Ovis aries: one gene and its partner. The protein of the gene in region 1 purifies or fractionates together with the protein of each later gene. This does not show direct contact. Links are inferred from orthologs where the notes say so. Each region holds a gene or a part of one and is shown on either strand. Other genes may lie near its edges.

Region 1 (14,927 bases):
CCAACAGGGCAGATGCCCTGGGCTCCAGTTGGGGGAGGGGTCTGGGGTCTGATCCGGGTTTCCTCCCCCCACCTCACCCCCCCCCCATTTCCCCTTCCTTCTCCGCGGTGCGGATAGAAATTGGACTCTAAATAATAAACACTTGGAGCCCAGATGGCAGGTGGTGAGACCAGGCCTCTGTGGATTTGAGTACCTGGGGAGTGCAGGGAGGGAAAGGGGGGTCCTGGGGTCCTTCCCTCTGAGAAATGAGAGGGACCCAGGAGAAGAGCGGGCACCGAGGAACCAGGGTGCAGCACCTCCACCTCTTGCTTCCATGCATGAGTCTGCAGATCGGTGGGGAGAAAAACAGGGCCCCCAAAAGGCCTTCTTCCTCTCAGACTGGAGGCCCTGTGGGCTTTGTTTTTTTAATTTTTTTTTTTTTTTTAATTTGGCTGCTCCGGATTTTAGTTGTGGCATGTGGGATCTAAGTAGCCTGACCAGGGATGGAACCTGGGCCCCCAGCATTGGGAGCATGGAGTGTCATCCACTTTACCACCAGGGAAGACCCGCCCTGTGGGCTTTGAACACCCCTGTTTCCCCGACCCCCCAATACCTGGCCTCACTTCAGCAGTGAATGGGGAAGCAGGGTCCACATGCAGGACCTTCCTTACAGGTGGGATGTTCAGAACAGCTGGAACACAGCTCAGAACAACACTGGCTCTGAATCCAGGCTCCACTCGGGGCTGGGAGGAAGCCGAAAGGGGAGATATTGTCCTGAAAGTGCTTGGCACAGGGCCTGCCTGCCATATAGCAAGTCACCCATGGGTGGCCACTTACAGAAAACACTGTGTGTCCAGCCCTGGCTGGAGGCTAGGATGGGGATTGAAAAGGGAGAGCTTGGTGTGGCTTTTTGCTGTTGTTTTTAACAGCTACTCACATTGTATTTATTTCTTTTACTTGTATGTGTTAGTCACTCAGTCGTGTCCGACTCTGCCACCCCATGGACTGTAGCCCGTCAGGCTCCTCTGTCCATGGATTCTCCAGGATAGAATACTGGAGTGGATTGCCATTCCCTTCTCCAGGGGATCTTCCCAACCCAGGGATCGAACCCAGGTCTCCCGCATTATGGCAGGCAGATTCTTTTATGTAGATTTAAACACACACATTCTGCTCATCTTCCTTCTCCTCTTAGAGTGACAGAGTCTAACCTTGCTTTGAATCAGCTGCTCTTTGGGAATCTGAAAGGAGGCCATCACGCCCGCATCTGCAGGCAGCCTGGTATCTCAGACATTCTGCAGTCCTTTAGGGCCCCGCACAGGAGATGCCCTGGGTCTGGTCTGGGCTGCAGACCCGAGGAGGGGTTGCCGTGCTCTGAAGCCTACGGCTCTGTCCACACGTGACCCCTCTCTAGTTTCTTTTCCCTCAGGCTGGAAGGGGCACCTGAGGAGGCCTTTGGCCACTGGCTCTGTTTCTGATCTGAGGAAGCTGTTCAAAGAAGCACTGGTGATCTCCTTAACCCTTTACACCGGTCCAGCAAGAACTGGGCTTCAGGCAGGGGTTGGGGCTACAGGGAAAGCAGACTTGGTCCTACTTTAGAGATGCCACTCTTTTGGAGGGGGCAGGCGGGGCATGAAACAGCCTGAAGGTGAGCACGCAAGTCCAGCCTGTCTCCCACCCAGCTGCCCCTGCCCCTCTGCCTTCCCCCTTCCCTGCCCTCCCTGCCCAGCCTTCCTCGTCCACACCCCACAGCCAGGCTGTGACCAGGCAGTACCACTCCCTTTTCTACCCTACCCCCGGCTCCTGGCCTCTCCCCACCACCCTGCCTCCCATGCCCACCTCCTCACTAGCTGGCCTGCCCCTTCTATCCCTGCCTGCCCCTCCCACCACATCTAAAATGCCAATCTGACCTTTCCCTCACTCCTCCCAACAGGCTTACTGAACACCTACTGTGTGCTCTGAGGACCCAGTACTGGAATTAATGAAGCAGAACTCCCCACCCCGAGGATCCCAGGACCATGTCTACCAGGCATAGGGCTTGGAAGGCATTCCAAATGGCCCCTGAAACTGCCATCCTCCCATCCCTTTCCTGGAATCCAGCAGACCCTCCTCCCTGGAGGGTCCCTCGGCCCCCCACATGCCCTGTCCTCCAGTTCCCTAGGAGCTCCCGGTTTAGGTCCAGCTCAGCTGCCTCCTCCTCCAAGGAGACTTCCTGATTGCCAGCTGCAGTGGCCACTCACTCCCCCTGGTTTCCTCCAGCCTTGGTCTGTCCCTGCCTTTAGGGCATCAGGCAATTTGGGCTTTTTGGTTTTTGGTTTTGGCAGCGCTGGGTCTTTGCTGCGGCACTGTTATTGTTTAGTCACTCAGTTGCGTCCGACTCTTTGCGACCCCATGGACGGCAGCCCATGAGACTCCTCTGTCCATGGACTTTTCCAGGCAAGAATACTCGAGTGGGTTGCCATTTCCTTCTCCAATAGGACTTCTTTGGGGGCCTCTGTTCTGCTGACCACAGGGGGGAGGTGACAGCCCAGGGGGAACGCAGGGCCAGGGCAGACAGGGTGCCCTCACCCAGCTGCACCAGCCACTAGCTGGGGGACCATGTGCCCTCTCGGCCTTGTGAGCTCAGTCCTCTACTGGTGGTCCCTGTACTCCAGACCCCCGACTCGAGGCCAGCTCCCAGCTTGTATCTTGGCTAGAGCCCCCATCTCTGACCTGCACATTTTCCTCATCTGCAAAATGGGATGAGTGACCAGGACCTTTGGATGGAGGGTGATCTGATCCAGAAACACCTGTGGGTTCGACAGGGGTTGCTGAAACTCAGTGCAGCCTCCTCATCACTCTAGGGATGTCCTGCTCAGTGCTGGGGGTGTTGCCCATTGACCTTGGACTGTGCAACATGACCGGCTCATTTCTGCTCTCTCCCCATCTGCGGTCCACCAGCCCCAGTGCTAAGGCTTCTCATTGCACCTTGGGGACTTCTCATGTTGCAGAGCCCAGAGACTGTCTATGCTGAGTAGTTTCAACTTGCAGGCTTAGGTGCCCTGAGGCACGTGGGATCTTAATTCCCTGACCAGGAATCAAACCCGAGTCCCTCGCATCAGGAGGCAGATTCTTTAACTCTGAGCCACCAAGGAAGTCCCAGAGCATCAAACTGTTGATGCAGTTATTTCTTGGCGTGTCTCGCTCACCCTACATCTGTGAGCTTCTGGAGCCCAGGCCATGCCTTCTTATCTTGGCATCCCCCAAACAGGCACCCTTGCGATGTTTGTTGAATGAGTAGAGGGGTGAACAAGGGAACTGAGAAATGAGGGGTTCGGCCACTGTAGGGGAGGGTGGCGACAAACGGCGAGGTGGCAGCAAGAAGACCCCTAGAGGGCGACAGAGAGAAGGGAAAAAACTGCAGGTTGGTCCCGGGCCAGAAGGGATACAAAACTGGCCAGGACTGAGAGGCGAGATCCCTGGGGGAGGGTCCCTGTCAGCCTGAAAGCCCGAAGCTCTCGTCCTCAGCACTTCGCTGGATACTTGGCACCTGTTCTCCTGAAAAGGACAGGGAGGTACCCCACCCCCTCCTGCTCCCCTGCCATCCCTCCCCCAGAGGGTTGAGCCTGCACTCTTCTGCTCTGACCTTGGGAAAAGGGAAAAACACTGGAAGGCAGGCAGGAAAACAGGAAACTTGAATTCCATATCGGGTAGCAAGGAGGGGAGATGGGGGCAGGGGTGGGGGAACCTTTGGAAGATGTGGCATTTGGGGCATAGTAGTCCTCTCCTCTGCATGCGGGGCCTCAGGGACCCCTCTGTCCACTCCCTCCCAACACACACAGCAGCCAGGAGGCTGGACAAGGCTTTCCTGTGTCCTGGCAAATCCGCCCCCTTTACTTAATTTGTCTCCTACAGCCCCAGACCCAGCGTAGCAGGTCACAAGTGTTCATGCCCAATTTGGGGGTTCCAGCTGACTACCCCCCTCCCATGCCTCTCTGAAACGCTCTTGGAAGCACCCTGGCCTCCTCCCCAGCCTCTCTTTAGCTGAGGGCATATTCAGCAAACCAGCTTCATCACCAGGCACCTGCCCTTCCCTTGCCAAGCTCCCCTCCACCTGGGAAAGGATTTTCAGGACACCCAGCCCATGAGGGTGCTCCAGCCACCCGGGCTCCCACCGCCAATGGCCACTACCCGCCAGGGATTCTGAGTCTCAGCATCCTCTGGGCCCCTCTGTCTCCTCTCACCATATGCCCGTCCCTGGGGGGGAGGGGCTGCAGGACGGGGCGGGGGAGGGAGGGAGAGAGTGGAGGAGAATCTGTTGATTCACCAGTGCTGGAAGGAGTCTTCGAGAACATCCAGTCCGATGGTCTCACTGTACAGATGAAGCAAATGAGTCATAGAGACCGGCCCCTGGCCAAGGTCACAGTCAGAGACATGGACGTCCCCAGACTCCCAAGCCTGACGGATTCTTGTTGCTGGTGGCAGGGCAGGAAGAAGAGGATGGAACCCCAGCCCTCCCTCTGGCCCCTCCTTGGCGCCCCTCCCCCCACTTCAGAGATGGTGGAGATGAGGTGACCCCTCAGGCCAGCCAGAAGCCAAAGGCTCAGTTAGGAGCTGGGTTTGTGGAAATGAACTCCTGCAGGAGAAGTATCTAGATGCTTCCAGAGAGACCCAGTGCCTCCCACCCCCATTCTAATTACGGCTGCCCACATTTTTAGTTCCCAGCAGGCCCAGCGACTGGCAATTCATCAGCTGTCAGGCCTCTCCTGGGAGCTCCGGTAGCTGCCTGAACACTCTCGAGCTTTCTCTGAGGCTGGGCCAAGGGAAGGAGGGGCTGGAACAGCCGCAGTTGGCAAAGGCCTGCCAAGGGAGTGGCTAATGCGGCTGAGGCCTCCGGCACAGGGCCAGGAGGCTGGGAGGCTAGTCTCTAGGCTGCTGCAGGGTACTCCAGACTTTGAGGCTAGGGATGAAGGGAGGGGACCCTATGATTAAGGAGTCCCGGCAGTGCCCACCTGCTCCCCAACCCCTTGGCATCTGGGAAATCCCTGGGGGTGGAGTTATCCCCTTAATCCCCAGAAAGCTACCCCAGGCAGCTCAGTCCCCTGGAAGAAGGGTGCTCTGCTTGGTCAGGGCTGGAAGTGAACCCAGAGAGGCCGGCCCCACCCTCCCTGTCCCACAGGTAACCCTGGGCTGCACCCCTCAGCCCACAGCCCTCCCTGGATGGACTTCCCAGGCCGGAGAGGCAGGAGGCCCCAGGTTCCAATCCTTCCACCCATCACCAGCCTTGTGACCTTAGGCCAGTTGTGACTCAGTTTTCTCATCTCCAAAATAAGACCCTGATAAGATTCTTGAGTGTGCTGTAAAGTGCATCCACCCAGTTATTTCTCATTAATCTAAGCCTCAGTATCCAAGATTAAAGGCCCTCTTTCCTCCTTTGTTATTATAACAATGAACACTTCTGAGCACCAGGCTCTTCGCTGGAGTTATCATGTTATAGATTCAGCACAGCCCTGAAAGATGGGTGTGTTGTTATCTGCCGGCTCAACGAGGTCAGCAGGCCAGTGAACAGCAGCAGATTCACACCCCACCCAGTCTGACCCCAAAACCCAGTTTCTCCCTCGCTCACCCCCTCTTACCACCACCTAGAGCCACCCAGGTCCCCTCCCTTGTGATTGGCAGCTCTGATCAGAGTCCCTCAAGAAGTGACCAACCAAAGATGGACGTGGGGAATTCCCTGGTGGTCCAATGGTTAGGACTCCACGCTTTCACTGCCAAGGGCCCAGGTTCAATCCCCTCGTTGGGGAGCTATGATCCTACAAGTCTCGTGGTGTGGGGGAAAAAAAAAAGTAAGATATGAAAGTTCTGTCTTATGCCACCCCTGTGGGTTGCACAACTTCCTCTGGCTGGGGCAACAGGGATGGAACCTCCCCACCCTGGTTTCAGGCAAATCGAAGGAAGCTCTGAAAGGAGCCTCTGTCTACAAGGTACTGGCGGCCAGGCAGGCAGCCCCCACCCAGAGCGTGGCTAGGCTGAACTTGAAAGCATCTGTGATTATATGTGACAGCTCCCGCGAGGGTGGGGCACCTGGGCTCCAGTCTGGGCCGAGGTGGGCAGGCAGGGAGCAGATGAGGGCCCTCCCTGGCTCCTGACCTCACCCTGACATTAAGAGCTGGGTTGGGTGGAGCTGGGAGTGCCAGGGAGCCAAGGCCTGGGGCTTCCTGAAGCTGAGACCCTTGGGGGTCGGGGCTGGGGGGGGGGGGGGGGGGCAGCAAGCAGAGTGTGTCTCGGGAGAAGAGAAAACAAGAGGAGTCCAAGGTGGGAGCTTGACCAGGGGAAGAGCCCTGAGCACTAGAGATGAGAGCCTTCCTCTGCTAGTGGCTTACGGGAGACTGTAGGCCCATCACCTCATCTCCAAACCTGTTTCCTCATTGAAAAAGGAGGGATACAGGACACATGTCAGGAGAAGGAAGGCAGGAGAGAGAGATTGTTAGGATTATGGCAGGAAGCTAGGGGCAGCATCTTTTCCCAGAGCGGGTAGTGGGGGCGTGGATCTCACAGGCGGTCAGATCGGAGGAGGGGCCGGCCTCAGGCTCCAAGCAAGTTTGAAGGAATTGCCCCCTCTCCGTCTGCGGGAATATTCAACAGAACAGGATCGAGGTAATAACCTGCCAACAGGGAAAGGAGCATTGGCCCAAATCACACAAACAGCAAAGCCCTGACTAGATTCAAGGTTGCTGCATTTCAAGTTCCCCTGTCTAGGGCTCCTCCAGAAAACTAGATATAATGGGGAGACTTGACCATAACCTTCTTCCTGACCCCTTCTCAGTACTGGCCCTCAAGGTTTGTGATCTGAGTCTACTCCACTGGGGTTCAGTGGGCAAATGGCCAAACCTACACATACCATTGCCTCTGCAACAGGGACACATACATGCTTTCCTTCTTGCCCCCTCCTTCAACTTCAGGGGCTAATAATAATTATAGATAATATATTATCTATATATATTATCTATATATAAATATAGATAATATATTCATTATCGTGTACCCTGGACTAAAATGTTTACTTGCATTGAGGCTGAATCTTCAAACCAACCTAGCGATGAAAGCATTATCATCACCACCATCATCCCATTTTCCCGATGGGGAAACTGAGGCAAAAGACTCTGAACTTGCACAAGTTCATCCAGTGAGTGGCAGAACCTGCATGTGAACTCAGGCGGTCTACCTCCCGAGACCGCCCTAACCACGCTGCTTCTTAAGGCATTATATCACAGACACACTGCCTTCCAAATCCTGGCTCGCTCTGCCAGTTCCTAGTTGTGCGCCCTGGGACTCACTGCTCGACCTCTCTCTCTCCCCTTGGGACTCACTGCTCGACCTCTTTCTCTCTTTCTCTCTCTCCCTCTCGGCTTTGTCCTCCCCGACTGTCCACAGATAGAGGCCCAGCGCTTTAGCACCCAGGCCTCCGAGCGTCCAGCAGTGGGCAGTGCTCCGACATCGAGGCTCTAGTCATTTGTTTTCTCGAACAAGAGAAGGTTCCAGATGTGGGCAGGGCCTTCCTCGCCCCGCCCCGCGCCCCGGTATGCAGTGGAGGGGAATGCAGGGGGAGGGGCTGCCCCCTGGCCCGTCATTGCCATTAATAGAGACCTGAAACACCGCCTGCTAAAAATACCCGGCTGGAGACCCATAAAAGCGCTACGGGGTCCGGCGCCCGCCACTTCTCCCGCTTCTCCGAGCCTACTCCGGACGCACCCAGACTAGCCAGCATGGCCGAGCGCCGAGTGCCCTTCTCGCTCCTAAGGGGCCCCAGCTGGGACCCTTTCCGCGACTGGTATCCGGCCCACAGCCGCCTCTTCGACCAGGCCTTCGGGCTGCCCCGGCTGCCCGAGGAGTGGTCGCAGTGGCTGAGCCACAGCGGATGGCCGGGCTACGTGCGCCCGCTGCCCGCCGCAGCGATCGAGGGTCCCGCCTACAGCCGCGCGCTCAGCCGACAGCTCAGCAGCGGGGTCTCCGAGATCCAGCAGACCGCCGACCGCTGGCGCGTGTCCCTGGACGTCAACCACTTCGCCCCCGAGGAGCTGACGGTCAAGACCAAGGACGGCGTGGTGGAGATCACTGGTAAGCACCCCCTGGCCCCCGCCCCAGGGACGCCGGCCCCTCGCCTCTCGCGGGTCCCGGGGAAGAGCTCTGGGTTGAAACATGGGCGGGGAGCCGGGAGAGGGGGCCGCTGGAAAGTGAAAACTTAGCCGAGGACGGGCGGTGGGGGGGAAGGCGGGGAGCCCCCAGAGCGGGGCCCGGCCTCTTCGCCCTAGCCCTGGTCTGTATTCTCTGGAGTTGGGGTTTGCTGGAGTTCCTAAGGGATCTTTTAGCCCTAAAAAGTCTCCACTAAGGAAAGCAACGCCCCCTTCCAGCGGAGACTCCCCTCAACCCCAGCCCTCGGACCTGAGGACCTGGCCCCCAAGGGACCAGGCCCCCCCGCCACGCCCCACCCACCCGGGCCCGCAGTCGGTATGAAGAGGGCGTCGCCCTCGCCGCCCTGCCCCCCATGCCCCCCACGTCACGGTCCCTGCTCCCAGCCCGGGTCCGCGGAGGGGGCGTGTGCGCCTGCCCCGAGCCGCGCTTCCACCCCCACCCCCCACTCGCCAAGCCCCTGAACCCGAACTTTCCAAAAGCTTCTGAGTTCCCCAAAGCTTCTGAGTTCCCGGGACAGTCTCGGGCACCCAGATCCCTCCGTCAGTCTTGCCAGCCCGGAGTCCTGGCCCGCAGGTGGGGCGCGCTGGGCTGCGAGCCAGCGGCTAGGCCGCCCCTCCCCGCCTCCTCTGACCTACTTCCCCTCCCCCTCCTCCCAGGCAAACACGAGGAAAGGCAGGACGAGCACGGCTACATTTCCCGTTGCTTCACTCGCAAATACACGTGAGTCCTGGCTCCGGATCTGGGGGGCGGCGGGCGGGAGAGGGGCGCGCGGGGACGCCCTGGTGTGTAACTCTTGTCCACCCTCTTTGCCCGTCCAGGCTGCCCCCCGGTGTGGATCCCACCCTGGTCTCCTCCTCTCTGTCCCCTGAGGGCACACTCACCGTGGAGGCCCCGTTGCCCAAGTCAGCTACCCAGTCTGCCGAGATCACCATTCCCGTCACCTTCCAGGCGCGTGCCCAGCTTGGCGGCCCCGAAGCCGGAAAGTCCGAACAGCCGGCAAACAAGTAAAGGCCCTTTGCCCAGCGGCCCACCCCACAAGTAGCCATCACTGACCATCCTCACCCGCCAAACCTCTATGTTCTTTTGATACGTTTGCCTTCTGTTTTTCTCAAATAAAGTTTGAAGCCACTGCCCGCCACTGCCTCAGACCCTGCTGGTTTTGTGAAGGAAGAAGGGTTGGTGCTGGTTTGATGTTTGCTGAGGGCCCGCTGGGCACCAAGCCCCAGGCTGGGTCCTGTGGGTGCAGTATCATCTGTCACTGGGCACAGCCCTGCCCTCCTGTACCCCTTGTTCATTAAGAGAGAAGCAGTGATTGTTCACCGGAGTTAAAACGCCCAGGGCTGGAGGGGGAGCAGGGGAAATTATGAGAGGCACTTGACCCAGGCTTGGGCACTCAGGAACCACCTGGGCAAGGGGGCAGGTGAGGGAAGACAGGGCAGGGCTGGGGGAGAGGGCTTCCTGGGAGCTCAGATTCCTGACTTCATCGTAGAGGGTTTGGACCAGGTAGATTGGAGGGGAGGTGTGGCCACCCCTGGCGGCTTTCTGAGGGGCGATTCCCCCAGCCCAGCCCATGTAGGCAGCACGGGACCTGGGTCCTCAGGTCTGAGAGTGCCCCGCAGAGAGTGATGAGCAGGTGTGGCTTAGGTTTTGGTGGAAGAGAGAGGCAAAGACCTGATGTGGGAAGTAGTGGCCGCAGGAGGGCCTACCTTGCCTGTCCCTGCCAGGAACGGCCACGCCTGCCTTGGCCCTCTTCTTTGTCTCTGCCCTCCCCACCACCCTCTCCTACCCACTCACTCTCCCTGATGAAGGAGGGTCTGGGAAGACCTTGGGGAGGGAGGAAGAAGATGCAGGCTTTGGAGCTCAGTCTGAACTGCTCAAGGTCTTGAGAGACCTTACAGTCTTCTCCACCAACAAGGTCCTAGAGCCTGGGGCTGTGGCCAAGACAGACCCTGTTCTGATTGCTCAGCCAGGCTTTGCCAGGGTTCCTGAAAGGAGCAGCACCTGCAGGGCAGGGCCTTGAGCACCCACCCACAACCATATCCCCGCACGCTGCCCAGCTTCCCAGTCTCTACTCCCTGGTGCAGGCTCCATGTTCGGACACCATGATCTGGAGCAGGCGTAAAGCCAAGGCAGGTCCCAGCCCTCCAGGGCCCCGCCGAACCTGGAGGGAGGCCCACAGAGAAATAAACACCTGGAATAAGGGTGGTGCTGGCCCAGCTGGCAGCGCGGGTCTGGACCTGTCGGCCCGGGCGCTGCCCAGTCCACCCACCCTCCCACCGCTGGTTCCCTGAGCTCTGATCTCTTAAATCTTCCGCCCGCCTCCCTGACATGCACACCCCCCACATCTCAGGTGTCTCCTGGACGCCTCCACTTTGCTGGGCCATGACCCAGAGTCAGCCCGTCTGCGTCTCACCCTCACTCTGCTGGCTCGCGCCCTTGCAGCTGGCAACAGGATGGACCTGACTTCCACGGGTGTGTCTGGGTCCTCCTGTCTGGTCAGAAAGAGCGATCTCGAGGCTGCCAGCTCCTCCGCCGGTGCCCTTGATGTGTGGCAGAGCTGGTGCCAAACCTTTGACAAGGTAATCCTCAGGCCAGCCCTGAGAAGAGGTGCCATTACTCCTGCTTGGCAACTGGGCAGCAAAGCCTCAAAGAAGTGAAGAGACCTGGGACTTCCCTGGTGGTCCAGTGGCTAAAACTCCAAGCTCCCAATGAAGGGGGTTCAATCTGGGGTCAGGGAACTAGATCCCATGTGCCACAACTAAGACCCAGTGCAGCCAAATCATAAATAAATAAAATTATTAAAAAAAAATAGAGCTTCCTGGGTGCACCCAGTAGTCCTGGAGGGCCATCTGAGTGACCACAGGCACCAGAGAGCAAACGAGCTCAAGACCCAGGCCGGGGCGGGGGTCTCCACAGCTTGAGCCCAGGGAGGCTCCATGGGGCCTCAGGAGGAGACGGATGGTGATGGAGGTGAGCCTGGGGGCCAGGGCCACTCAAGGAAGCCAGCCAGGCTGCAAAATGGAGAGAGCTGCCGGCTCTCAGGAAGACCCAGAGTCCAGGGCCATGGCCGGGGGCAGGCAGGGGTCAGCGCCTGGGTGCAGTCAGTGCTCCAACTGGAATATAGGTCTAGGGGCTCAGACCGTCCTCTAGGACACAGCTGGGGTATGAGGTCCATAGGAGGTGAAGAATTGGGGCTGCGGTCTCTGTTGGAAACCCAAAATAAGTGATGAGGAAGCAGGGATGGAAGCTCAGTAGGCTGCCTGGGTCGTACCGTCAGGAGCAGGGCAGAGGGAGGACCGAAGTCTGAGGCTGGGCTGGTCCTGTGTATGCCTGAGCTCAGCTCAGAAGATGTGGGATCTGGGACTTCCTTGGTGGTCTACCGGGCTTCCCCAGTGGCGCTAGTGGTAAAGAACCCGCCTGCCAATGCAGGAGACATGGGCCCATCCCTGGGTGGGGAAGATCCCCTGGAGGAGGGAATGGCACCCCACTCCAGTATTCTTGCCTTTAGAATCCCATGGACAGAGGAGCCTGGCAGGCTATAGTCCGTGGGGTTGCAAAGTGTCAGACACGACTGAAGCGACCACACACACACTCGCACTGGTGGTCCTGAAGAGGAAAAGTTAAAATTTTACATCACCTCCTGTTCCTTCTGCCTCTGTAACTCAGCTGGCTTTTTGCAAAGTCTGGATCACGTAGGTCACGTAGTCTCCAGAACGTGGGGACTTTACTAGGAGCTACACCTTATCTCACTCACCCTTGTCCTGCTCTTCGCAATTGCTCAGCCCCTGCAAACCTGCTTCATCATGCCTGTCCGTGTAAAGGTCAGGCATCCCCCTCCCTTAAACCAGCCTATTAGCAGCTAGTGTTGCCCGCTACAGTCTGTCTATAAAAACTCTGTAACCCCTTTGTTCGGGGCTCAGAGCTTGGAGTGGTAACTCCTCTGGGCCCGCCGGCATAATAAACCTGAGTTCTCCAACTCTCCGAGTGTGGTGCTTGGTTTCTCAATTACTGGTTTCTGTAACATTTCTGGAGGCCCCAGCGAGATTCCAAGCACGCCAGCCCCTCGAGCCGCTGGACTGGTGGGTGGCTCAGCCTGGCTAGAGCGAAGGAACCCTGAGACCAACAGGAGGCACGCCACTTGACGGTATTCCGGGTTCTCTTTCGGACCAGTGTTCTGACCGACTCTCTGGACAGCCAAGCCCTGACAGGACTCCGGGGAAGGAAGGCATTGTGACTGATAACCTCCTTGGAGCTCCCAGGAAGGCAGCAACAGTTAAGGAAACCTGGGGACTCTGGAGAAGGGAGGCATTGTGATAGCCTCTGAATGATTATGAGTGTGTGATTGCTGATTGAACAGAGAGAGAAATTTTGCTTCTTGGAAACTGCAAAACCAATTCTTTTTGCATATGCGATTAAAAATAACTAGCTTGTTAAAAGGCCTGCCTAGGAAAAAGCTTGAAGTTAACCCTTTCCATGTCCTTGAAATACACAGCCCACTTTGCCTGAGACCTCGGCCTTGGGCAAATTAGAACTTCAAGCAAAGAAGAAAAAAGGAGTCAAAGAGAGATTTTAAATCTCACACTGAGAACTATAAGATCTCTGTCTGTCTGGATTTATGTATGTCTCAGTGTATGTCTTTTGTTTTTTTCTGATAATATTGTTGAAGTTGTAAATGAGTTCTAATTTAATTGCCCTAAAGAAAAGAAAGCGCTTACAAATCAAACAATTCTAAATACAAGAAAAGTTAACCTAAACAGATTTCAGATTCATGTGAACTGGGAAATATTCAATATTAAATATCTAATATTAATGTTTTGTTTGCTAATCTAATAAGGATGTAGGATGTATGTTTTAATAAAGAAGGTATAAGAAATAAAATTACATTTTATAAAGGAAAAGGAAAGTTCTGACTTACAGATGGCTGTTATAGAAAGTAATTAAAAAGTTTGTGGAAAGTGGACCCTAAAAAAAGTTTTGTGCATAGTTAGGACTAAGTTTAAAGTAAATTTAATTAAGTTTACCTAAATGAGTTTAAAGTAAGCTGATGCAAAACTTGAATTTGGCCTTTCTCTCTGTTAAGAGGACATACTTTCTTCAGATGTTGAACTGCTTTTAATAATAGATTTAAGTTTCTTTACCTCTTAATTGTTCTGTATTTACCTTTGAAATCTTTTGTTAACTTTGGCTAAGTAAATAAGTATTATTTCACAGTAACTTATATGATCCTACCTGACTGAATATAGTTATAAACCCTTTTGACATTTATTGAAAAACTTCCTAAATAACTTGATTTCTAGCTAACTTTGGGATGCTTCAGAGGGCCCCTGAAACATCCCAAAGAGCTACTAAGCTACCTGGGTTCACTGGACATGTTCAATTATGTGGGAAGTACTGTTAGAGGGGTGAAAAATCTTATACTGTATGGTTGATGTTACTAATATAGATATCCTAAAATTATGTGAAATTCATATAGATCTGATATGCCCTGATAAAAAATATAGTCAGTTATAATTCTAGTTACCATATTAAAGTGTTAGGACCAGGTTTCTTTGTCAACCGCAATAGACTCAGATTCTAAACATGCCTTCTATGGTTTTACTCTCATGCCTTTGGAAAAATACTGCTAGTTCTTCAAGATTTATGGAGAAGACTTTCTAAGATTAAGCAGATTAAACAAATTTTGTTATTAACAGTAAGCTGGTAGCAGACTGGAATTTGGTCTTCTCTCTGTTTAGAGAACAAAGTTTTCTTAGAATGCAGCTTTTGATAACAAATTATTAATTTCTTTGCCTTTAAGTGATTTAGATTTGTTTTTAAAATCTTTGTGTTACTTTGCTAAAGTAAATAAACATTATTTAAAATTATGGTACGTGTAGACAAAGTTCATTCTGCTTCTACAAAAAAATAACCCCTCACGGTTAGACTTTTGCTATCTTGAGGTCCTTAAAACATGGCAATAGTCTGCTCCTAAATCAGGAAATTAAAAATGGATAAACAACAGCTAAAAACCAAAGAGCCAGGGCTACGGAAATCTAAGAAGGCCCCTGGGCTTTTCCCAGCTCCCTGACAGACCTCATTTTTATCTGATGGGATTAAGCCTTCCCTAGCTACAGTGTTACTGCCGTCACAATGAGTTCTCCGAAGAAAGAAAAAATTATGTTTCACTGAATTTTAAATTCTAGTTTTGTTAATTAAGGTCTGTGCTTACTAAGACTCACTTCTGAGATAGTTCCTTGTCATGCTATATTGCTAAAAGGTTTAATTAAGTTATTAAAAAGGACACTCTAAGATTGTTTCTAAAGCTTAACTCAGTAACCAGTCTTTGGATAAAGGTCAGATGCTCCATGATGTACAACCAGGAGATTAACACTTGGCTATAATCATGTAACTGAGTCAGATGACCTGGGGTATACTGGGCTATACCCAATGAAAGTTCTTGACTTAAATTCTTGCTTGTGACCTTACTAATAACTGCCAGCTATATTATTTTCTATGTAGCTTGTTTCAGAAGATTATTTCTTACGTTACCAAATGTGTGACTGAGCCTGTGATAAATGCAGATATGCAGTTCCATGTGAGATCAATAACTGTAATAATGTAACTCTAGATGTGGGAAGAAGCAACAGGAGGAAATATTTTCCTGGACCAAGAGGCTAGTAAGACAGGTATGGTCCAGAGACTTTTGCTACTTACAAGGCCTGTTCTAGTGACAACACATTGAGTGGCCTGTCAATGGAATCTTTGTTAGACCTGGGAATGAACCTTCCCAGCACCGTGGG
Region 2 (15,686 bases), on another chromosome or scaffold:
GCCAGGGAGGGGGTGGCCTGGCATAGGAGGGGCGGGACGAAGGGCCTCTGTGATGGGATGAGGTGGTGGTGGTGTCTGCCACCTGCCGAGACCCCAGAAACCACTCACTTTGAAGAAGGGCTCACTCTGCTTGCGGATGTCAGCCACTGTGAGGCGGGAGCGGGCATAGCCCACGATGTAGGTGTCTTCGGGCAAAAGGCCGTCCCGGAACAGCCACCTGAGGGCAGAGGCAAGGCAATGGCTGTGGCATGGGCAAGGGGGCACGGGGCCACAGGGGGCGGTGGGGACACAGGCTTACCAGATGGTGGGGTAGATCTTCTTCTTGGCCAGGTCCCCCTGCGACAGAGAAACAGGCGTGGTTACGAGCTGAGGACACGCCCCAGATCACCCCCACGGGGGAGACCTGTGCACATTTGTCCTGCCCCCTGTGTATAGACTGAGCCGCTTGAACTGGGGCCCAGTCTAGCCCTTGACCCTGGCCTGGAGTGCCCGCACATTGCTGGGGGGCACCCTAAGGGAAAGAGACCTCACGCTGGCCAGGATGTACTCCATTAACCCGCTGGTCCCACGAGCCACAGACTCGTCTTGTGGTTGAATGGGCAAAACCAAAGCCAACACAAGAAGCCCGCTTTTAAAGAGCTCATGGGCTAAAGAAAACCCTAGACTCACTGGAACTGAATGGCATTGGAAGTAGCACGCGACAAAACTGAGGCATGACTTTAAATGCTTATGTTAGCAAAAAAAAGAATGGCTCGAAGCTGATGAACTCAGCACTCAGCTGAAAAAGTTCGAAAAAGGACCATCCATCGTTGCTCGGTTGTGTCTGACTCTTTGCGACCCCACGGACTGCAGCCTGTCAGGCTCTATTGTCCATGGAATGCTCCAGGCAAGAATACTGGAGTGGGTAGCCGTTACCTCCTCCAGGAGATCTTCCTGGCTCAGGGATTGAACCCGAGTCTCCTGCATTGCAGGCAGATTCTTTACTACTGAGCCACCAGGGAAGCCCTAGAAAAAGGACAGCAGAATTTAAAAGCCAAACAAATCACAAGGCAGGAAACACTGCAAAGTAAAAATGAATAAAATGGAAAACAAGCCAAAAGAAGAGCTCAACAAAGCCCCATCTTGGTATTTGAAAAAGACTAATTAATTCAAACAGTCCCCTGGGAAAGACTGCTTTTTAAAAAGGCACCAAGAATCACGGGGGCAGTGGGACAAAACTACTGACAGGAAAGACCACAGAGGGTTTTGTGAATGACCTTATCCCACATCTGATAAGTTACATGAAATGGACACTTTTCTGGAAAATTCCAACATACCACAATGGAGTGAGTGACCTGGGGAGGCAATGGTCATTAAGGAGACAGGATGGCGTTCACACCCTTCCCAGCAAGCCCAGCCTGGCCCCTGACAATTGTCCCTGACAGAGACAGCTCTGCCAACAGGTCTCACAAAATGCCACGGAGACTTCCATTTGGGGAGTGTTTGCCAAGCCACGTGGTGGCCCCAGGACCCTGCAGCCAGAGTCTGAGAAATGCGCACAGGTGGTCCCGAGCCTGTCTCATCCATGAACACAGATACAAGTGCAAACAATTCTGCAGGAGATACCAGCAAACCCAACCCTGCAACGTCAAACATGGAGTATGTCCAAACTAAGTTGGGATCATCCTGCAAGTGAAAGCTTGGTTTGATATTGAAAAGAAAAAAATCATTAATATTCACTACATGAACAGATTAGAGGAAAAAAGCTCTAAGCCATGTGTCTACTCCTTTAGAGTTTTTAATCTAGGTACCTTGTTAAAACTCACCAGATGAAGATTAAATGTTCCAAAAAATTTCAACACCTAGCACGATAGGACCTCTTCCCAGACTAGGCATAAAACGGGACTTGCTCACCTTGCTAAGCAGACCCTGTTAAAAGCTCCACAAACATCATATACTGTAGGGAAAGGTTGAAATAATCCTCTTTCAACAACCAGGAACAAGAAAAGAGGGCCTGTCTTCGGCTCTTTACTCAACACCCCACCAGAAGCCCCGCCAGCAGCAGGCAGAGAACAAGACACACGACAAGGTGGGGAAGGAAGTGTCATGCAGGCCTGGTCTCTAGCTGACCACCTGTCCATTTAAAAAAGGAAAACCACTTAAAACCAAGCTTTATGCAAATTATTACAATTAATAATATTTTAGGTTTGAAAAAGTTAATAGATGGGGAGTAGAGACAGATTTCTTAGCTAGGACACAGAGCGCAGTAACTAGAAAATGGATGAATGAAGGCTTGAGCAAAATTAGAAACTCCTGGTCATCATAAGACACTATTAAGAAGATGAATTGGGGAAAAAAAACAAGATGAATAGATAAGCCACAGACTGGGAGAAAACACTCACCAGATGTAGTATCTGGAGTATATAGCCCACTTCCCTCGATATTGTGATATGTGTTAAATGCCACTGGTTAGTACACTTGAACGTGGTTAAAAAGGTCAATCAAAAAGAAAAAAAAACCACTCTACAACAAAACAAGAAAAGAATTCAAGATTGGTAAAGGCTTGACCACATACTTCACAACAAGAAAAATCAATGGTTACTTAACACACAGGAAAGTGGTCAAGATGACCAGTTGTCACAAAAATACAAATTAGACCACAATGAGATCCAGCTTGACCTTCACCAGTAGGTTGTAATCTGAAAAAACTAACCCCATCTGGTGTTGGAGGTGGTGTGGAGGAAACACTTGCACCAGGGTTCACAGCAGCCATAATTCCCAACAGCCCTGAGCTGGGACACAGTGAAAGGCCATCAACAGGGGATGGACAAGCTGGATATCTACACAGTGGGACACCTACTCAGCAACACCAAGGGATGAGCCAGGGGGATTCCCTGGTGGTCCAGTAGTTAGGACTCCACCACAGGGGTTTGCGGGTTTGATCCCTGGTAGGGGAACTAAGATCCTGCAAGCCACGCAGGGGGCAAGAACAAAGATTACAAACCAAGAAAAAAGGGATGAGCCAGTGGCCTACTCAACACAAGCAATTCTCAGAACCAGAATGCTGGACACACAAGGCTCAACACCCTGAGTTCATTTAAGGGAAGCTTTAGAAAAGGCAAAGCAGCCACAGTGACAGAAGTGAGAGTCCACAGCAGGAGGTGGACTGGCTGGGGAGTTGGAAACGTTGCCTCTGGTTATAAAGGTCAGAACCGATTGGACAGAGAAGATGTCTTTCGATGTGTACGAATGTTGCCTACAAATAAAAAGACTGAAAAGAACAACTGAGCAGACGGCGGGCGGTGCTTGCTGTTGACCATGTGAAACTTTCCAAGATAATGGCAAGTGTGTGAAGACAGCAACTGTGAGCAACAACATTGTCATCCCACGAAGTCACCCAGTCCCTTCTCTCCAGGCCGGTTTAGCTGCCATAGCCACGGCTACCTGCTTGCTTTTGGTGACCTGACAAAGGAATTCTCCACTCTGGGTGGAAGAGGTGGTGAGCCTGGGCATGGCCTGGGTGAAGAGCAGGTGCCCTTTTATGCCCCCTGCCCTGTCATCAGTGAGGGCTGCTGGGCAGAGCTGCTAGACTCGCCCCGGGCAGGAAAATCACCTCCAGGGGTGAGGACCTGAGTCTTCAGGGCAAAATGACCCTTTAAGAGTCATGTCAGCACTGGACGCAGTCACATCTGTGGACTGTTGCAGAGAGGAGCCGCAGGACCAGAACCGATTGCAATCTGCACCCCTAGACGGGCCATGAGGACGGTAGTTGGGGAGCTACCAGGTGGGTGAGTCCTCCCCTGGCTGGGGGCGATGGGGGCCACTTTTGAGGCTAGCATGCTCAATCCCCATTTGTGGCTTCACCCTCTGTCTCCTGGGCTGAGCCAACATCTGCACGTGGACAAGTCTGCTCCGGCCCAGGTCTTGGCTAGTGCCCAGCCCACACGGGCCAGTGTCTCTCCGCCACCTCCGGGCTCTAGCGGAACCTGGAGTGCTCCAGTGGGTGGTTCCCAAACCAGGGTGCCCTGTGTTGCAGCCCCCGCCCCCTGTCTGCCAGCCACTTAGAACTGATTGCTGAAGGCTCTGGAGCAGGGCCCCCTCCTGCCGGCCACCTTCCCTGGGAAGCCTGGAGATAACAGCGCCTCAAGGTCAGTCACTGATCCCTGGCTGGGGTCTCCCTGGAGCCCAGCTGCAACCCCTGTGGCCCCTCTCCTCCCAGTGCCCAGCAGTGCCCGCTTTCCGCTGACCCCTCCTGTTGCGGGGCTCCAGCAGGAGAAGCCATCAGTCCCCTGTCGGCGGGCACCTCCTGGCCCAGAGGAATGTTTGCTTCCGGTCAAATTCCAGTGGGTTAGTGTCCTGTCTGCTGAGTCACGGTGCCCTACACCCGACTGCCCTCACCGGTCCATTTGGGATTAGCAAGGGGTGGAACCTGCTCGCCTTGTTCAGCTCAGCCCTGCCACCAGCGGCCTGAGTCACTCACCCAAGGGAGGAGTGAGGTAGGACCCAGACGGGGGTGGGGGCACAGAGGCCTAGGAGGCCCCCCTACCCAGCAGCCTGGGCCTGGTTGCACTGCTGGAGGTAACATGGGCTGAGAGCACAGTGCTCGTGGGGTCTGGAGGAGTCTGGGGCCACGTGGTGACTTAGCAGCAGGAGCAGGGCCTGCTGCAGATTTCCAGCCACCTGCATCTGGCCTGCCAGCACCCTGATCTTATCTCAAGTCTCCAGTTTGATGAGCCCTTGGTCTCGAAGGGTGTTAGGGTGGAGCACGTGACAGTAGAAGTTGGGAGGCCGGGCAGGGGTGGGCTCTATCCCCCTCGAGGCAAGATCTGCCTGGCCTCCCTCCTGGGCCGCGGGGCTCATGACTCATCAGCCCTTTGGGGGAGCGCCAGAGTCACCGTGACACAGCAGGAATCTTATCGCCCCAGGAGGTGAGGCGGCCCAGAAGCACCCCCTGAGGAGAGAGGGCCCGGGTCCTCCAGCTCAGCCCTGGCAGGACCCCGTCTCTGGGCTGGGCCCTGGAGCACTCATCGAGCCCATGGCCCAGATGGGGAAACTGAGGCCCAAAGGCAAAGACCGCCCTGCAGAACCTGCACTGAGCCACTTCTGCCCGAGGGGGCTCCTCGGCCTGATCTTTCTCTCATCTCAATCGCTCTGTTTCCATTGGGGGTTAGAGTGGCTCCAGCCTGGCAGGCCCAGGGTTCCTCTCTCAACACTGGTCTGGAAGGAGAAACGGGGTTCCTGGGTTCCAGAGGCCTCCAGACCAGGTCCTGTAAGTACGTCCACTGCCCTCCTACTGAGGGTGGGAGTCTGGAGGAGGGAGTAGGGAGCGGCTGCAGCTACAAGGCCATCAGGTAACTCCTCAGGCTGGCCTTCGGACGGGGCGGAACCTGGGCGCGTGGGTGCGGGGTTGGGCAAAGCCGGCAGGGAGGAGAGGGGCGGAAGACAGCTCATCCTTTTTGGAGTCGCAGGCTCCGCTCCGAGGCCCTGGCTCTGCGGACCTTGGCGCCTCCCAAGGCCTGGGGTGTGAAGGCCTGGCAGTGTTTGCTGTCACATGCACTCACCTTCAGGCCCAGCCCCCAGGCACGGCTCCCACAGTGGGGGGGTGGGGGGGCCTCAGGGCAGGTGCCTGCTGTGCTGTGAACTCCTTGGTCTCCCAGAGTAACAGGTTTGTGCCGCCTGCCTGCCTCCCACATATCCCAGCAGGAAGGGGAGAAACAAAACAACAGAAAAAACAGGCTCTACTTCAGAGGCCCTGGTACTCCCCCACCCCCCGCCCTGCTGGCTGCAGCTGGCACTTCCTCTTTCTGCCCTAGAAGCCTCTGCTGATTGCTCTTGGAACAGAGAAGAGCAAAGGGGAACTACTCGGGTTGCAAAGAAACAATGTTGCCCAATGCCAAGGCCACCACACGTGAAGGCAGGGAGGAGTCACCAAATCAGCTCAGCAGAACCCTGGGGCCCCTTGGTGCTCCAAAGACTTCCATTGCCAAGTGGAGACTGTGGGGTTGAGAGAGGAGGAGACACTTGGCCCAGGCCACAGAACACACTTGGATGCTCTCACTGAGGTGGTTTAATCGGAGTTGAGGATCTAGGGTCATAGGCAATTTACTAAGGCTGGGGACCCTCTGCTGGAATGTCTTGGGACAGGCTGGGATGGGGATGGGGGAAGGAGGAAAAATAATCCTGAGTAACTTTCTCTGTCAACCTATTTCTTGGACCAACTCCGAGGTGTTAAGCTTTCTGGTGCCTCGAGGGATGAGGCTGGGGCCAGGGTGGGGGCTAAGCTGCCCCCTGTGTGCCCCTCCTGGGCATCCTACAGTCTTGGGGTGATAAGACGGTCAGGGGAGAGTTTCGGGCAGCCTTCCCTTCCTTCCCAGCAGCACAGCCCTCCTCGCGCGCAAAGCCCCCTGCCCTGCATTCTGGCTCTTTTTCCAAGTTTTGACCAGAATCACACAACTGGCAAGAAACACGTTCTGCAAAGGGCGGTAGCTTGTTATGATACATGAATGAAGAGCTGAATTCCTCTAGAGCTGAGGGGAGAGGGGTGTGGAAGGGACAGAGAGACCATGCCTGCCCTGTCAAGAGCTCACTCGCTTGGCAGAACTCTCGCTTCAGGTTTATACAGTAAGTCACCACCAGAGATGCTCGTAATCCTGGGGAGCGGATTCTTGGTCCCGTCCAGGATGAAGAGTTTCCCTTTGAGATGAAACGTAGACAGCGTTCCAGCCGTTTCTCATGTCTTGCCACTGGGTTGATCTTATTTCCACGTGGCACATGGAGAAAGTGCTTTTAGTTGGGGGGGCCGGTCATGGCTCTCCAAGGACCCACCCACCCTCTCGTGTTCCACCCCCTCCCAACATGTATGGTCAGCACGCTCTGTTTCTGCCTTTGCTTCTAGTCTCTGGCCTTTCTCATCACAGCAAAGTGGCAGTTCCACTGGCTGGACAATGGGGCTGGTCTCAGCTCCTCGGGAGGCCTTGGAAGTCGGGGCAAAGAGATGGGGTTTCAAGAAGGGTCAAGTGTGTGTCTTTGGGGACCGTGAGGGTAGACAGACAAGGTCGAGATCGGGCCCTGGATCCTACCTCTGGCACTGACTGTGTGACATCTGTCAAGTCAGAAACATGTTTGGAAAACACCCTTCTGGAATGGACTGCTTCCCCTGTTTACCTCTCTGTCTCCCCTGTGGAGGAGGAAGTCCAACCAGACAGTCCCGAAGGGCCTCCCAGCTCCAGACAGAGGTCTACACTCAATGGCTACACACGGACTTCAGAAATGCCTCATGGTGTGTGTATACTGGGTGGTAACAGGTTGACAGCGGCTCCTGAGCAGGGGCAAGAGCCCAAGGGGCCCAACTGCGAGCAGTTGGGAAAGCACAGGCACCGTGAGGTCCCTTCTGCTGCGTTTAAGCTGTGGGGCTTGGTAGGGGAGACTCACCGATGCACCCATGATGATAAAGATGTGCGTATCAGCCTGATGGAAGTCATCACCCTGGTACAGCTCTTCTCGCAGGATCCCGCACACCTGGGTCCGGCTCAGAGCCACCTGCTCTGCCATGGCGCTCTCTAGTGAAAGAAAAACTCAGTTGACAAGGCAGGAGCTGAGAGGAGCACTGAGAAGCTAGCCCCTTTCTGGAGGAGTCCTTTGGGCTCTCCTCCAGCAGATGTTTCATTACTGAAACCATTGACTGTGAATACCTGGGGAGCAGGATGTTCGGGAAATTAGAAACTGCTGGCCCTGGGCTCCGGCCATCCTCTCTGGGCAACCTTCTTCTCTGTTGTATACTACAAAATGACCCAAAACATTACTGGATTCTTACTAGGGCCTCAGCTCTGGGGCGACTGAGTAAAACGCCGCTGGCGCAGCGTACGATCTGCCTAAGACCATGTCACCCAGGATGCAGGCAGAAATTCCACAATGAGCTGGAGCGTGCGAGGTAGTGCAGCCGATGGGAGTGTCGCTCCAGCCCTCCTCCTGCCACGCTGGGCAGACCCCCAGCAAGTCCCTGGCCCTCTCCGTCTCCTCGGGGGGTCCCATGAGGGCAACGCAGGGTACCAGATTGGTTAGGCCCTCTGGATTTTGCCCCGTTCTTAAGTTTGGGCAATCAAAGTGCCTCGTAGCGCCGCGACCGCCCACTCGGTTACCTGTGCTTCGTTGCTCTCGCCCGTCACACTCGCAGACCCCAAGTCCCCGGCCGTTTCCCCGGGCTGAGCCCCGCCGGCCCATTTAACCGGCGGGGGCGGGAGCCTGGGCTGAGCTGACCGGCCTCAGGCGAGATACGGGGGTGTGGCCTCCGCGGGCCCCTCCCTCGTGGGGCGGGGAAGGTCGAGGGCGCGGGCAGGTGCGTGCGCATCCCGGCCAGGCCGGGCCCCCCCACCCCACCGTGGAGGCCCCAGCCCTGGCCCGCCCTGCCCCTCGAGCACCTGCGCCGGCCGCTGAGCCGCGGGCCGCCTGCTGTCTCGGCTGCGGCTGTGCCGTGTCCCCGCTACCTCGCGAGTCCGCCTGCAGCTCCCCGCAGCTCGCCCGTGTCCCCATCCCTGGCCCGACCCCGCCCCTAGAGTCCGGCTGTCGGCGCAGGGCCCCGGGGAGGTTCTGCGTGCTCGCGCGGGCCTCCACTTCCGCCAGCTGCTTGACCCTGTCCTTCGACCCTGTTGGTGGGTGGGGTCTTCTGCAGCTCCGTCTCCTCGCCAGACCGGTCGCCGGAGCAGGTCAAATCAGCCCTATCAGATGACAGCCTCGTTGTGGTTCCAACCCTAGCGGGAAGGGGGACGGCCCTGCCGGAGAGACAAGGGGGAATGCAGGTCGCGACGCTAATTACTGGGGAATGCCCCGCCGGCCAACCGAGGCTTGGTGGGTTCAGGTTTCCGCTTTGGGCAGCCTCTCTCTCACCTTCCGCCGGCCGGCCAGGCAGGGGCGGGACCTGAGCATTTTACTTCCGGATCCGACAGCTTAGACACCGGAAGCCGGAAGTGAGAAGTTGGCAGAGGGAGAAGGGAAGGGCTACAGCGGAACTCGGACTTTCTCGGAGCGCCGGGGGTCCGAGGAACGCCCGGGGCCCGCCGTTCCCGCCCTTCTCACGTCGGACCGACTGAGCTGACAGGTGTGGCCCTCTTCTGAAGACAGGGTACCATCGGTGGGCGTTCTGCCGCCTCCGAAATCCCCTCCCCGGATGACCAGGCTTCCCCCTCCTGTTCGGTCCAGCCGGGTTCTGCTGCGCACTTCCAGAGCACCGGCGGAGGCAGGCCGATTGAGGACTCAGGTTACTTTGGCGGCGAGCGGGTTTGTTTCCGCCTCTCTTTCCTCCGCCAGCGCCGAGTCTGACCACACCCCTAGTTTGTGAATGACTCTTCTAGGTCGGAGACATTTTCTGTTCATCATCTGTGCATTTCAGGTTAAAGTTCTTTAAGAAGGCGTTAAATATGACTTGCCAGCTAAGTATCTCACCTCATGTGCATCATTTTGCTTCTTTGCAAAACGATGAATGTCTCCTGGACCTCGTATCATTTCTGTGACTTGAGGATGAATGGGCCATCCTGACATGTTAGAGGAACTCAGTAACGAAGCCGCTATACCTGGAGTAGAGTGAGCGAGGGAATGCTTAGAGTGGGAGCCGGTTTGATTCCTGGGTCGGGAAGATCCGCTGGAGAAGGGATAGGCTACCCACTCAAGTATTCTTGGGCTTCCCTGGTGGCTCAGCTGGTAAAGAATCCGCTTGCAATGTGGGAGACCTGGGTTCGATCCTTGGGTTGGGAAGATCCCCTGGAGAAGGGAAAGGCTACCCACTCCAGTATTCTGGCCTGGAGAATTCCATGGACTGTACAGTCCATGGGGTCGCAAAGATTTGGACACAGCTGAGCGAGTTTCACTTTAATGGGAGAACAGATAGGGCACGGCCTTGTAGGTAGTGGTAGGGACTTTAGGTTTTAAGCTATCGGCAATGAGGAACCATGGTAGGGATCCCAGCAGAGGAGGGATGTGATCAGAATCACCTTTCAGGCTGACTGGTCTGGCGCGGTGGGGAGAACTGACTATGGGGGCGGCACGTGTAGGAGCCGGGTGACTTTTAGGAGGTTATTACAATAATTACCTGAATAGTGATGTTGCTCTTATCATTTTATTGTGTAAAATTTCAAAGGCATAGAAAAGTATAATAGTCTAGTAAATTCAATGTACTCACTTCCCAGCTTCAACAGTTACCAACTCGTGGATATTTTTAATTCATACTCCTCAAAAACAGCTTCGTTGACATATAATTCACATACCTCGCAAATCACCCATTTAAAGTATACAGTTCACTGGTTTTTCAGTGCATTCACAGACTTGCACAACTATCACCATTAATTCCAGAACATTTTCATCACTCCAAAAAGAGACCCCATGAACTTCAGCCATCACTCTCACCACCCCATCTACCCCTGCTCTAAGCATCCACTAGTCTTTCTGTCTATGTATTTACCTATTCTGGACATTTCATGTAAATGGAGTCATAATATGTGGTCTTTTGTGAGTTGTTTCTTTTTATTAACATAATGTTGCAGCATGGGAATGTACTAGATTTTGTCTATTCATCAGTTGATAAACATCTGGGTCATTTTCACTGTGGCTGTTTGGAGTAATGCTGCTACCAACATTCCTGTGCAGACATGAGTTTTCATTTCTTTCAGGTAGATACCTAGCAGTTCACCCATTATTTAGAACCAAGTCCCAGACGCCATGTGATTTCTTTCAATAAAAGTTCCATGTGGATCTCTAAGAAATGACTTTGAAAGAAACATAGCCACACCAGCACTGTCACATGTAAAATAGTACCATTACCTGCTAAGTGTCATCAAATAGATTCTAAGATACATCTTGACAGGATTTCCTGATGAATCCGACGTGAGCTGTGAGACAGATGGGAATCAAGAAAGACTTGAAGGTTTTGTCCTGCCAGCTAGAGCATGGGTTAGCCATCTATTGGTAACAAGGAAGGCCATGAATGGAACTGGCCTCTGGGGATGATCAGGAGTGTAGTTTACCGAGGTTAGTTTTGAAAGGATGACTGGATATCCAAGTGGAGATCTGGCATTTGATGTGTGAGTTGGGCGTTCAGGAAAGAGTTCTGATTTGGGGCATCATTAGCATTAAGATGAGGGCTACAGTTTTGAGTCTGGATGGAATTAGTACTGGAGTGACTGAAATTAGAGAAAAAGTCCCAGAACAGAGCCCTAGGGCATGACCACATGAAGGGCTGGGTTAATGAGGATGGACCAATGAAAGCCTGAGAGAGAGCAGCCAGTGAGGTAGGTGGGAAACCAGTAGAGTGGGCTGTTCTGGAATCAGGGATCAGTGATCCATTAGATACTGCTAATGGGTTAGTAGGGTGTTCAGTGAAGCATCAGTGTAATAGTGAAATGTCCAAGCTCGTCTGGTGTTCAAGCCTCTGGCTGCAGCTCAGGCCCTACTGGAAACTTCTTTTGTGATTAGCTTCCTCTTCATGTAGCCAGTCTTGGGCAGGCCTTAAAAGGGCTCCAGGTTGATGCTGTCTGGCGTAGACTCCCTCTCTCTACTCCAGGTCACAAGAGAACACAAATGGCTCAGCCTTTCTCTGCCTCCCTGCCTTCATCTGTGAGCCCAGGCCCTGCTTTCAGATGTCTCAGTACACGTCAAACGTGGGATGATCCACTTTAGCCCTTCTGTTCCAAAGAACACTCACCAGGCTCTGAGTGATCTCTGTGAAGACCCTCTTACTTGGTGTATGGATTTCCTAGGGTTGCTGTAAGAGATAGCCACAAGTGGGGGCGGGGGTTTAAAACAACGGAAGTTTATCCTTTCCTGGCTCTGGAGACCAACAGCCTGAGGTCAAGGTGTTGGTAAGGCTGTGCTTCCTTCGAGGGCTCCAGGGCAGGGTCCTCTGGGCTTTGTCCAGCTTGTGGGGGCTTCAGGTGTCCCTGGGCTTGTGACCACATCCCTCCTGTCTCTGCCTGTATTTTCATGTGGCATCTCCTCTGTGTCTCTCCTCTTCTGTGTCTCATAAGGACACTTTTAGGGCCTTTCTCATCCAGGATTATCTTATCTCCAGATCCTTGATTTTATCGCATCTGCAAAGATCCTTTTCCGCAGTTTACAGTCACAGGTTCTGGGTGTCATAAGGTATTTAATAAGGTATGTCACATGGACATACCTTATTGGGGGTTATCATTCAACTCACTGTACTACGTGAGGGGCCACTCACCTCCACTCATGCTTGGAAGTGTGTGTGTGTAGGGTAGGATTCCCAGCATACCGACACATCCCTCCAAAACTAATTTTCTATGTTATTTCTCCTCTCTGGTGATGTTCTTAACTTCAGCTTACAGTTTACAAGCAGTGCTGAACCATGACCTTTCCAAGCCCCACAGAAGTGCCTGCACCTCCCTTAGGAATGGGACTATGTGCTACCTCTTAGACCAGAAAGCCCATGTTAGCATCTCTTTCCACTTGCCAGCATGCTCATCATTTTGCTTGAAGTGTGATGCCAGGACTCCTCGTCCTGCAGGGTAGGAGAATTCTGTATAGGTCTCTTCATATCCTACCCTTGCTAACTCTCTTTCAGGCCCTGACGTGTTGGATGAGCAGGCCCCCCTGAAAGAGTCCACTGTGTGAGATGGTGCAGCCGAGTGGTGGCCCGGCAGGGGACCAGGACATGCTAGGTGAAGAGTCTTCTCTGGGGAAGCCAGCCATGCTCCACATGCCTTCAGAGCAGGGCACCCCTGAGACCTTCCAGCGCTGTCTGGAGGAGAATCAAGAGCTCCGAGGTGAGGGCAACAGTGGGCGGGCAGCGTCAAATGTCTGGGGAGCAGGCCCTGCTGGGGGAATTGACCCCACTTACCCAGTGCCTCTGCGTTTTCTGGGACTGAGGTGGGCAGGCGCTCGAGAGCCAGTTTGTGGCTCTGGGTCAGCTAGCCTCCTTCCTTCATTTCCTGTGGGGTTCTCTGGAAGTGACTCACAGCTACAGAGTGCCATCCAGAATGTTTAGAGTCAGGACCAACACTGGGGAGGGGAGGGGATGGGAAGGGAAGGGCAGGGCAGTGAAGAAGAAGGGGTGGGCAGAGGGAGAAGCTGGGCTGCCCTCCCTCCAAGGAGCTCTGGAGCTGAGGTGACCTTTTTGGGTTGTCCCTGTCGGGCCAAGGCCGCCAGGCTCCTGTGTCTCCGTACTGATCAGCCATTGTTGTCATTCAGTCACTCAGTCGTGTGTCTGACTCTCTGTGACCCCATGGACAGAAGCATCAAACAATATACTGGAAAGGGGCGTGGCTACCCGAGGAAGGGCGTGGCTATTTAAGGGGCGTGGCCTGCTCCAGAAAGGGGTGTAGTCTGCTCTGGGCTAGGCTGGGGCTTCCTAGGAAGGGCCCGTGGGTGGCTTTGGGGAAGGGACATCTGGGCCACTGTGGGTGGACTGTCAATCGTCCCCCCTCCAGGTAAGACAACCAACAATATCCCCCAGGTGTCGTTAAATATGTTTCTGTGTTGGGGCCACATTGAGCTGGCAGCCAAGTTTGGGGCAGGGAGACAGTTCGCTCTCCACAGCTACATATGTGGTCTGAGCTCATCCCCAGGACAGTGGGGGCTGGTGGGGGCACCGTGGGCCTGAGGCAGAAAGCCCTGTCTCAGATCAGTCGCTCCCTTGTAGGGCTGGAGTCTTATGGGGACTGTGGTACGTAAAAGGAGGCTCTGGAGCCAGGCTCAGGAGCCATTGTGGTTCTAGCGAAAGAATGTTCCATCAGAAGGCCTATTTAGCTCATTGGGGGTTCTGAACAGAGAGGGGGCCTCCTCTAATCTAGTTCTGTGGTGGTTAGCACCTTCACAGGCCATGGATCCGTTTTGTCAGTACCAGTGGTGAGCTGCTGCTTGGCGGTGTCCCTGGGTGGGTGGCTCTCCTTTCCTCAGCCCTTGCTGACTGCCTGGGAAGAGGAGGACAAAGTGGTTCTTGAAGCTGTCTTGTGTACCAGGCACTTTGGCTGCTTTTCCATGTTACCCGTCCTGTCTCTGAGATGGGGATGCTTGTCCCCATTGAACGTGTACAAGAGGATGGTGAGGCTCAGAGAACTCGCCTGCTCCGAGACTTCTGGCCCTGCCCCCAAGACCCCCCTCAGTCTGGGGCCAGCAGAGCTCGGGGAAGTTTGCCCCCAGTCTGATCCTGAAGGCAGTGACCCAGGGGCCTGCTCTGACCCATGCAGAAGGCAGATGAGTTCCAGAGTCACTTACAAAGAACAAATAAACTGACATTTGACATTTTTTTTTTTTTTTTGGCCACACTGTGCGGCTTGTGGGACCTCAGTTCCCTGACCAGGAATTGAACCCGGGCCAGGGCAGTGAAAGCACTGGGTCCCAACCACGAGGCCACTAGGGACTCCCTGACATGTGTTTTTAAGTGAAGCTTTTGTGGACACTGGGGGTATGTCATTCGCGTAGCTGACTTTGAAAGTGATCGGCGAAACGAGGGAGTGTTGGGAAGACGTCCCAGTGGGGGAGTCCTCGGGGCGGTGGGGGGCCGCAGGCCCTGGGCTCATCTGGCCCCAGCTATCTCTGCAGACGCCATCCGCCAGAGCAACCAGATGCTGCGCGAGCGCTGTGAGGAGCTGCAGCGTTTCCAGGGCAACCAGAGGGAGGAGAAGGCCTTCCTCATGCAGAAGTTCCAGGAGGCCCGGGACTTGGTGGCGAGGCTGAGCCTAGAGAAGCGCGAACTGCGCCAGCAGAGGGAGCAGGCCCTACAGGAGGTGGAACGCCTGAAGACATGCCAGCAGGTAAGGACCTGGCTGCCTGCTTGGGGGCACCGGGGTGGGGGGCTCCCGGAGTTGGGGAAAGCTGTTGTCCTCCCAGTTACGGCATTAGGATGAGCAGCTGGCTGGGATATGGGTTGAAATCAGTAAAGATAAAGGAACGGAGGGCAAGTCCAGGAGAGACGGAGCCATGCATGAGAGTGTGCCCTCTGGGGACTTGTAGGGGTGGTCATTCCCGGAGGCCTGGGGCGCCTGTATGGCTCCCCTTAGGTACTTGATTTCTGGGTCCCAGAGATCAAGCTGGTACATGTGGCCCAGGGCCTGGCCAGAAATCACGCTGCTGGCAGTATAGACAGCCTGGTGGGGGCCCTTGGGGAGTGTCTCAGGTTTCCGGGGCTGCTGTAACAGAGTACCACAAACAGGGTAGTTGGAAGCCACAGAAATGTGTGGTCTGCCAGTCATGGAGGCTGGAAGTCCATGATCCAGGCGTGGACAGGGTTGGTTCCTTCTGAGGGCAGGATCTGGTCCAAGTCTGTCTCCTAGCCTCAGGTACCTGCTGGGAGGACTCTGTTCCGTGGTTTGCAAACACACTGTCACGTGGCCTTCTCCCCTCGTGTCTGGGCATCTTTCCTCATCTTATGAAGACACAAGTGTCAAAGAGCAGTTCATCCGGCCTTTAGGTAAAGGGGTAGGAACCGGTTTTGTTTGGTAACCACGGTCAGCAGACGAAAGCACCAGGCACCCTTCTGATTGGCATAGGGGTGCCGGTGATTTGAAGGGAGAGTGAGGTGGGGTCAGCGACAGGGTCTCGAGTGAAAACCCATGGTGGGTTGGTCAGGGTCAATGTGGTGAGGTCAGCAGCGTCCGTCCCCGGGGTCAGTTCTTGGATGTTACGATTCCATCCTACTCAGAGATGGGTAGACTCAGGCCCTGTCTTTCCTGAGGATCCCATTTCAAAGGAATGACTCTCAG

Evidence for each region.
Region 2: the proteins of HSPB1 (region 1) and G6PD fractionate together in Homo sapiens (co-fractionation; 3 studies listed by BioGRID and IntAct, with this or other methods). This does not show direct contact. The link is inferred for Ovis aries from reciprocal best matches to the Homo sapiens genes HSPB1 and G6PD.

The regions. Positions count from the first base shown.
Region 1 is NC_056077.1:34,781,413-34,796,339, forward strand, and holds HSPB1 (heat shock protein beta-1), read left to right. Parts: upstream 1-7,671; 5' UTR 7,672-7,721; coding exon 7,722-8,073; intron 8,074-8,804; coding exon 8,805-8,868; intron 8,869-8,966; coding exon 8,967-9,156; 3' UTR 9,157-9,281; downstream 9,282-14,927. UniProt on the Homo sapiens protein: Small heat shock protein which functions as a molecular chaperone probably maintaining denatured proteins in a folding-competent state. Plays a role in stress resistance and actin organization.
Region 2 is NC_056080.1:79,911,503-79,927,188, reverse strand, and holds the start of G6PD (glucose-6-phosphate 1-dehydrogenase), read right to left. Parts: upstream 8,896-15,686; 5' UTR 8,863-8,895; exon of another isoform or gene 8,748-8,862; 5' UTR 8,509-8,747; coding exon 8,397-8,508; intron 8,262-8,396; exon of another isoform or gene 8,200-8,261; coding exon of another isoform or gene 8,118-8,199; intron 7,758-8,117; coding exon 7,671-7,757; intron 7,539-7,670; coding exon 7,411-7,538; intron 5,249-7,410; exon of another isoform or gene 4,444-5,248; intron 4,128-4,443; exon of another isoform or gene 4,035-4,127; intron 1,006-4,034; coding exon 916-1,005; intron 337-915; coding exon 299-336; intron 218-298; coding exon 109-217; intron 1-108. Other genes in the region: IKBKG (NF-kappa-B essential modulator), read left to right, coding at 12,599-12,749, 14,515-14,738. UniProt on the Homo sapiens protein: Catalyzes the rate-limiting step of the oxidative pentose-phosphate pathway, which represents a route for the dissimilation of carbohydrates besides glycolysis.